2 linked regions of the Macaca fascicularis genome follow. The protein of the gene in region 2 purifies or fractionates together with the protein of the main gene of each other region. This does not show direct contact. Links are inferred from orthologs where the notes say so. Each region holds a gene or a part of one and is shown on either strand. Other genes may lie near its edges.

What was found.
Region 1: the proteins of ITPR1 (region 2) and ERLIN2 purify together in Homo sapiens (affinity purification with western blotting, with the first as the bait; 4 studies listed by BioGRID). This does not show direct contact. The link is inferred for Macaca fascicularis from reciprocal best matches to the Homo sapiens genes ITPR1 and ERLIN2.

The regions. Positions count from the first base shown.
Region 1 is NC_088382.1:41,109,820-41,114,428, reverse strand, and holds the start of ERLIN2 (erlin-2), read right to left. Parts: upstream 3,109-4,609; 5' UTR 2,645-3,108; exon of another isoform or gene 2,529-2,644; coding exon of another isoform or gene 2,488-2,528; exon of another isoform or gene 2,333-2,487; intron 2,000-2,332; 5' UTR 1,985-1,999; coding exon 1,878-1,984; intron 1-1,877. Other genes in the region: uncharacterized protein, read left to right, coding at 2,488-2,528, 3,109-3,613. UniProt on the Homo sapiens protein: Component of the ERLIN1/ERLIN2 complex which mediates the endoplasmic reticulum-associated degradation (ERAD) of inositol 1,4,5-trisphosphate receptors (IP3Rs) such as ITPR1.
Region 2 is NC_088376.1:142,897,463-142,901,275, reverse strand, and holds part of ITPR1 (inositol 1,4,5-trisphosphate-gated calcium channel ITPR1), read right to left. Parts: intron 2,085-3,813; coding exon 1,833-2,084; intron 1,355-1,832; coding exon 1,213-1,354; intron 492-1,212; coding exon 311-491; intron 1-310. UniProt on the Homo sapiens protein: Inositol 1,4,5-trisphosphate-gated calcium channel that, upon inositol 1,4,5-trisphosphate binding, mediates calcium release from the endoplasmic reticulum (ER).

The sequences.
Region 1 (4,609 bases), on a different chromosome or scaffold from region 2:
GGTGGTTACATGCCTATAGTCCCAGCTACTTGGGAGACTGAGATGTAAGAATTGCTTGAGCCTGGGAGGTTGAGGCTGTAGTGAGCCATAATTGTGCCACTGCACTCCAGCTTGGGCAACAAAGTGAGACTCTGTCTTAAAAAAAAAAAAAAAAAAAAAAGACAGCGGAATCCATGGGTATACTTAGATAACAGGCACTCTGGCCAGGCGCAGTGGCTCACGCCTGTAATCTTTGGGAAGCCGAGGTGGGTAGATTACGAGGTCAGGAGTTCAAGGCCAGGCTGGCCAACATGGTGAAACCCCGTCTCTACTAAAAATACAAAAATTAGCCAGGCATGGTGGCAGGTGCCTGTAATCCCAGCTACTTGGTAGGCTGAGGCAGAGAATTGCTTGAACCCAGGAGGCGAAGGTTGCAGCGAGCTGATATCTTGCCACTGCACTCTAGCCTGGGCAACAGAGCCAGGCTGAGTCTCAGAAAAAAAAAAAAAAGAAGATGAAGTCTGTTTTACTTTGTCATATCTGTTGGGCTTGTGGTAATCCATAAGGGCAGTTAAGTCCAGTAATGTGGTTATCAACTACCTGCACTAATGCTGGAGTCCACTGACATGACCAACCAAAAGAATAATTTGAAGTACTTTATAAGTAATTGAAATATATGTTTTGGCAATAGAGTTACCTTTCTAATCAAGTTATATGTAAATGATAAAGTTAAAAGCCTTTTTGGGGAACATGTAAGCAGATCATGGGGAGAAAGAATTAAAGGAGAGAGGAATTCCAGAGTTTTAGAACTTGCTGTTATCAATCCAGAAATAAGCATCACAACAGCACATATAAGAAGAGTTCACAAAGACATAAAGCAAAAAACTTGGTCATGGAGATTATTAAAAAGAAAGCAACCCGACTTATAAGTGCTTCTTTGCTTTATATTATGCAAAGAATTAAAAAAAACCAATAAAACAAACAGTGACATAATGGGCTCCTAAATTTATTGTAGGAACCACTATCCTAAGGCTTGCTTTGACTGACATAAGTCAACCTGCAGGCTCTTTCATTTTTCGTGAAATGTTAATATTATTTTAATTTAGTTTTAGAGACAGGGTTTTGCTCTGTCACCCAGGCTGGAGTGCAGTGGTGTGATCACTGCAGCCTCAAACTCCTGGGCTCAAGTGATCCTCCCACTTCAGCCTCTCCAATAACTGGGATTACAGGCACATGCCACCATGCTCAGCTAATTTTTTACTTTTTGTAGAGATGGGCTCTCACTATGTTGCTCAGGCTGGTCTCAATCTCCTGGGCTCAGGTGATCCTCTCACCTTAGTCTCCTGAGTAACTAGGACTACGTGTGCGTGACACAGAGTCGGCTAATTAATTTTTTTATTTTTATTTTTTAGAGATAGGGTCTCACATATTACCCAGGCTGGCTGAAATGTTAATTTCAAAAGAGTATCCTAAATTAGCAGAGTAGGCTACCTTCTCAAGTTGCCATCAAGAACTGGGACTCAGCTGGCTTTTGTAAAGGTAACCTAGCAGTGTAGAGCTAAGACTGCCAGAGGGATGTAGGAGAAAACAGTATTTTAGGGATGATCTGTGAGGAGCACCAGTTTCCTTTAGATTTTGCCTCTAAATCTATATAAACATTTATTAATCACCACCCATGGCATCATCTTGGACTACTAAGCGAAGTTCTAAATTTACATATATGTGTGTGTGTGTATTCTCTTTTCCATGGTTACTGACATAAAAAGCTCAATCTGAAAAGACTCCCCTGTTCAAGGAAATATAAACAGAGATGTTCAGCAGTATCTGCTAGGAAAGCAGTGACCAGGAAAGGGAGCTATTTAACAGAAGTTGCCGACTTTGCCCTGTCTCTGTCTTACCTGTAATATACCCCAATATGTCCCTCTTCTATCTTGTGCACAGCTGAGAAGAGAGATGCACACAAGAAACTGGAAGCCACAGCCACAACTGCTCCCAACTGAGCCATCAGTGAGCCTTTATCCTAGGGAAAAGACACGGGAAAATGTGTGTGGTCCAACGTGCAGGAGAAAAGGCCGCAACAGCCAGAGGACCTCACCAAGCTGAGCTCCCTGCGAGTGACTCATATTCAGCCTGGTGTCGTGTGAACACAAGGCTAGATCTACAACTCGCTTCCTCCTCGTTCTCAGTCAACGTTCCCCTTTCCTCAACTGTGAAATCAGGGCCCCCACCGCACTGAGGAAGCACTGGCTCCGGATACAGCCGTTGCTCAAGGGAGAACCCGTGCCAGCTGGGTAGGGTTCAGAACACAGCCTCATCTTCCTGTGAACACGAATGTGCTGTCACTGAATCTTTCATACTAGTAGTAGGGAAGAGAGGCAGCTGCAGTACTTTGGCCCAAATTACAGAGGATGCCAAATGACAGGCAGTTGTGGCTATGTAATTCTGGTCAGAGCCTCCCACTCCTAATTGCCTGCAGTTTCAAGGGAAACCATTATTTACTCCTTTCAGATGCTGGAGTGGCAGAGCCAGCAGGCGAGCCGAGTTTCAAGGTAGGATTCGCTGGCCTCGCATCCACCTTCCCAGTTATTCCTTTGGCCCTAAACAGGACAGGGCTCTGAACAAGCCTGAAGCCACACTCCCCCCGATATACTTTGGCACTTTGCACCTGACAGATCCCCAAGCCCGTGGTCAGAGACAAAGGCAATGTCCAAAACTGCGAGCCTCTGGGCTCCTGGGTCCAACCGCGTTCAGGCACCAGGACGCGGAGGAGTTGGATCCTGAACACTGAATGATCTGGAACTATGGTGACTGACTGCAAAGTTCAGCTGTGCGTGCGTGGGCCCGTGAACGCAGGGCGTGGATTCTGCCTCCCAGGTCTAACGTAACCCGGGCGCGGACATCTGCGAGGCGCTTATTTTACCGTGGCGGCCTCCGGCTACCGATCTGCAGTTGCGTCCTTTCCTGCCAGTGCCCTTCCCTCCCCGAAGTCACTCGCGCCCCTTCCCCGCCCCGTTCCGAGAGAGGGTCAAGCGCCCTGGGCTGGGACTGCGGCTCCAATAGCCTCCGCTCCGTCCCCCTGCGGCTCTCAAGGAAGGGACGCGACAGAAAAGGGTTTCTGTGTCTCTCCAGGAGCGGGCCGGCGGAGGGAGAGAAGCTGCTGGGACTGAGGCTCCCGAGGGTGATGGGTCAGCCCCGAACCGGAGCTGCAGCTAGGCCCAGCGCGCGCACGAAGGGGCGGGGGCCGCGTACCAGGCTGTCCCTGCAGGCGCTCCGTACTCGTCCGAGCCCACGAGCAAGAAAACCGTCACACCCCTCAGCACGCGACTTCCTTCTGGGCCGTCGCTTCGATGACGCCATCAGTTCACGCGAGAAGACCACACCCCCGCCCCGCGCTCGCTCTGCGCCCCGCCCCTCGCGCTTCCAGCGGTCAATGGCCGCAGCTGGCCGCCAGGGATCGCCCGCGGCTTGGTCCGTGCGGTCCTGTACCTCTGTTTCGGGTGTCCGGCCTGGGGCTGGGGATGAGGGCGGTGTAGGTGGGAGCGCCCCGAGAGCGAGCGGCAGGACGCGCGTGACCCGGAGTACTGAGACCCAGGGCGTCCTTTTCCAAGGCGTTGACTTTGGGGATTGCTTCTGATTTCCCTCTGCATTAGGCCGAACCTGGTTCGTTTTGGTTTTTTTTAGAGACAGGGTCTCGCTCTTTTGCCCAGGCTGGAGTGCAGTGGCACGATCATGGCTCACTACAGCCTCGAACTCCTGGACTCAAGCGATCCTCCCATCTCAGCCTCCTGAGTAGCTGGGACAACAGGTGTGCGCCAGGACACTTGACAATTTTATTTTTAGTAAAGACAGGGTCTCGGTATGTCTGGTCTCAAACTCTGGCTTCAAGCAATCCTCCTGCCTCGGCCTCCCAAACTGCTGAGATTACAGGTGTGAGCCACCATGCGCTGCCTTTTTTTTTTTCCCGCCTTGATAAACTACTAGCGAGTTGTAACTGTTTTCCTATAGCACAGCTGAAATGAAACAATCTTTTCAGTGTACAGATTAGCATCATTACCTCACTAATCAAAAATCCCTACCTTGAGTTCTTTATATTTTTCTGGGAGCTTTGGCCATTGCGACCCTGCAACACCACAAAGTATATTAACAAGGAATTATTCTAATTTTAATGAACGGAATCTAAGAAGTTCAGCGAGGTTCAAGGGTAAAAGCCAAGGAAAGCTTCCTTTGTGTTTCCTTAATATCTTGAGTTCATTGCTTTTTTAACTCCTGCCACAGTGCACAGCGGCTTGTGCACTTCGTCTTTCTAGATAAACTGTATGTTCCCGGGAGAGCAGAGACTGACTTTCCTTCCGCACCCCCGGGCCTTAGGTGCCCAGTAAATACAGACTGAAGGCAAACGTGGGACCAGGCCTGGAATCCAGACTTTGTGTCTCCTAGGCTAAGGGCCTCACGTTTTCCTCAACCTGCCCTACTCACCAACATCACATTGGGGCATTTCTAATTCAGCCACTGAAGTTATTAGTTATTTTGTTTGCAGAAAAGAAAGAGTCCACTTAATTATAGCCTTCAGTAAAAGAAAAACTTTTACACCGGGAAGATGGCAAGCCGGTGGTGTTAGACAGATTTAAGA
Region 2 (3,813 bases):
TTATATAAACATTCAAAGTGTTAGGTAACTTTCAAATTGTTCAACAAAATATACACATGACTCACACATAAATACAAAGGAAAGACAGTAAAATGTGAATAACTGTTGACTCAAAGTCATGGGTGCATGGGACTCCATCATACTGTTCTTCCAGCTTTTCTTTACACAGTATTTGAAAATGTTCATGATGAAAAGTTGGGAAGGAATGAGCAAAGAAAGGATGTGGCATCACACATAGGGTATGACATGAGCGTAACAGGAAAGGCTGGGAGGGCATCTCTCAGATGTATGGGCACCCTCAGATACTCACTCTTCAGCTTCTCCACATCATTGTTACCTTTATTCTCTTCTCCTTTCGCCATCTTGCTAATGGGGAAGATTGTCGTCACATGCACACAGTCCAATATGGCCAGAAGGATCTTAGTTAATCGTAGAAGGTCAGAGAAGTTGTAGAAACCAAAGTATATGAGATTCCTAGCTAAATTTACAACCTATTGTATAAAATAAAAGAAGAAGATGGTATTACATAAACTGCACCCCCTTCAAATCCATTTGATGTTGACCAGTTTAGAAATGACAGATTTGGACCTTCCTTATGGTAAGAGAAGGCATGTATTTTCCTTGCACTTTCTGATAAAATTTCATTTTGTTTCATAAGGAGGAAAAATAAGAAATGGAGAGCTACTGATCTGCTCTGATGACTAATTAAAAAAAAAAGACCTCATCATTTGCTCTGCACAGCTTCCCAAGGATAATATTAACACAAGGCAAGCAGAGTTATTCCCAACAAGGACACAGGTAATAACATTCTGCAATCCTCAGAAATACAGCTCTTAAAAGGCAAAAGTAGTCTCAGAAACATTGTTAACTCAGAAGTAACGAGGATTTACATTCTGCAAATGATTAATCTATAGCAGATCGCAAACACAGTGTTTCTCCCTTGTCAGTTTTAATACAAAGTGATGTTCTATCATTTTATGTGGTTCAAGTCACCTTGTATATTTCTTTTAAGAACATAACTACTATTAAGCCATGTGACTGGTATCTGTTTTATCTTATTCTGGAACAAAACCAAGCTGAATTCCTTTCCATTACAAAACCAGAGCATCATGACCAAAATCACTACCTACTCAAATATTTTCTATTTGCCCCATAGAAAAATGACCACTGAGAGGCAGATAATACACACAGATCATTTCATTTGTGAGTTACCTCAAACGTAAGCTTATTTTTCTCCTTATCAGAGAAAGGGAACCTCTGACAAACCACATCTCTTAAATATTCCTCCACAAACTCCATGGTCTGAGCAAATCTCTCCTTAATTTCATCTTTGGAAGCTCCACTACTATCATAGCTGAAAAGAAAGGAGAAAGAAAGGAAACAAAATTTCAAGTTATTCCCAGAGAGGTCTTCCTGGGTCACTCAGCTTCAAAAGTCAACATCCGCTAACCCTTGGTGTCCCTTGACCCTACTTTATTTTTTCCCTCCTTAGCACATATCACCAACTATATGTTTGAGTCGTTTATCTTGCCTATTGTGTCTTCCACCAACTAGCATAGAGACTGCTTTCTAGCTTGTTCACTGATATATTTCTTGAGTGTGGCACAGAGTACACACTTAAATATTTGTAGAAGAGGAGATAAATGATGTAAAAAACATGATCATGCCATCTTTTACATTCTTGAGGAAAAAAATATTTGCCATCCATTTAATTTTATTTTAAGCTAAAAAAACAACACTTCATCTTTCTTCTAAGATTTAATGAGACTATATGGGGCTATCTACTGCCGCACAGAACAACGTAAAGTGAGGTTTTCAGGGGCCAGGCTCACTCGTCAATGGCAATCTCCGAGGGAATCTCTGACCAGAGGCGGGCATATTTCACGGGGGTGACTTGTTCCTGGGGATCTCGGTCCACATGCATGTGAAGCATGAGGCGGCAGAAGGATGCCCTGAGGTCATAGGGCAGGTTCTCGTCAGACATGCAGCGGAGAATGAGATCGACATCCAGCTGGCCTGAGATTTCATTGATGGCCAGGTATTGGCGGTCCAGACACATCCTGGCAAAGAGGTTCAGCTGATATCTAGAGGAAAGAACAAGGGCACACAGCTCACGCTCCAGAAATCATTCAGGATGAATGCAGGGTTGCCTGGGCAGCCCTGACTTTCATGGGAGTGACATTTGGCCAACTAAACTCATACATCAACACCCCTAAATTGCTCTTGTACACCAGGATTTTGGCTTTGGTACCAAGCAGATCAAAGAACTGTTCAAGCTGTGCAATAGAGTGTGGGTTGACAGCCAACAGGAACACGTGTCTATCCAGCTGTGTTGGAGCAATTCTGTGATGACCTTATTCCATTAGGTCCTTGTTTACTTTGTAAAATAAATGGGGAATGCTAAGGCCTAAGATGGTTGTCTATTTCTATCCCTTCAGCTGTGTTTCATACAGTAAAGACCATGTAGGAAATGTTAAAGATATCACACATATTAAGCCTACTTAGAAATTTTATAACATTTTAAAGATCTTACATCATGTAAGTCACTCTAATTCCTACACATGTAAAAAAACCTTTCATGTACAAAAGCAGGAGACTCCTCACTTTTCATCTTCATCCAATTGCAAGTGAATGTTGTTAACTGGAACTTGATCAATTAAGGACTCTTTCTCATTCACTTGGGAGAAGATTCATCAAACATTGAAAGAGTAAACATGCTTGAAATGTGAAATAACAAGAAAGCCATAGGCTTTCAAACTAACAAATACTGCCTTCTAACTTAAAAACCTATGTATTTCTAATAATCATGATTTGAAGACATCCTCAGCCTCATTAGATATCAGGGAAATGCAAGTATAGACATGACTCTATTTCACACTTATAAAATTACCAAAAATTAAAAAGCATCATGATATTCAAGGTTAACAAAGATATGAAGAAACAAAGGTTGTCATCTACAACTGGTGGGCGTGTACATTGAAACATCCAATTTAGAATTGCTTAGTAAAGCTTAAAATATGAATATCCTCCAAGCCCACCTCCCAGTGTGGAAAGGAAACTCATACATATGCTCAGAAAAATTTGAATGAAGATGTTTTCTGACATGAAGAACTGTGGCATGTGACCAAATATCAAACAGCGATGAAAATGTGATAAATCAATAAAACAGAATATCATCCAGCAGTCCAAATTAAAGAAATAGATCAACCTCTATTAACACAGATATGCTTCAGTACCCATACTGAATAAAAAAGGCAAGTTGTAGAATGATATTTGGAGTACAGTACCATTTATATAAAATTTTAAGTAGAGATAAAATACTACATATGATTTATAGATGCATACAAATGTAGCACACAGAGAATGTGGATAGGATGCACACATCACACATGAATGAAAGAGAACAGAATACAGGAGGCAAGAATAGCCATTTTATCTGCAAAGTTTTATTTATTTTATTAAAAACTAATAAAAGCCTTGCTTTATCTTCCCTTTCCCTTTCTTTTAAAAGTATTTATTGGTTCACTTCCCTTCTTTCTTCCCCTTCCCTTCCCTTCAGGTGGCAGGGCTGGCAGGTCTTCGAGCTGGAGCCAAGCAGACACTGGGGACTGAGGAGGTGGCCAGCAGAGGTGAGACAGGTACACACAGGGGAACGGGCAGACAGGGAAACATACAGGGAATCACGGCAGCTGGAACGAGTCATGAAATGGAAAAAATGAAGGCTAGAATAAACCCCATGGTGTTGGAATGGAATTGGAAGTATTAGTGTAAGCACATGATTTTTATTATATATTTGTGTAGTTATAGAAATAG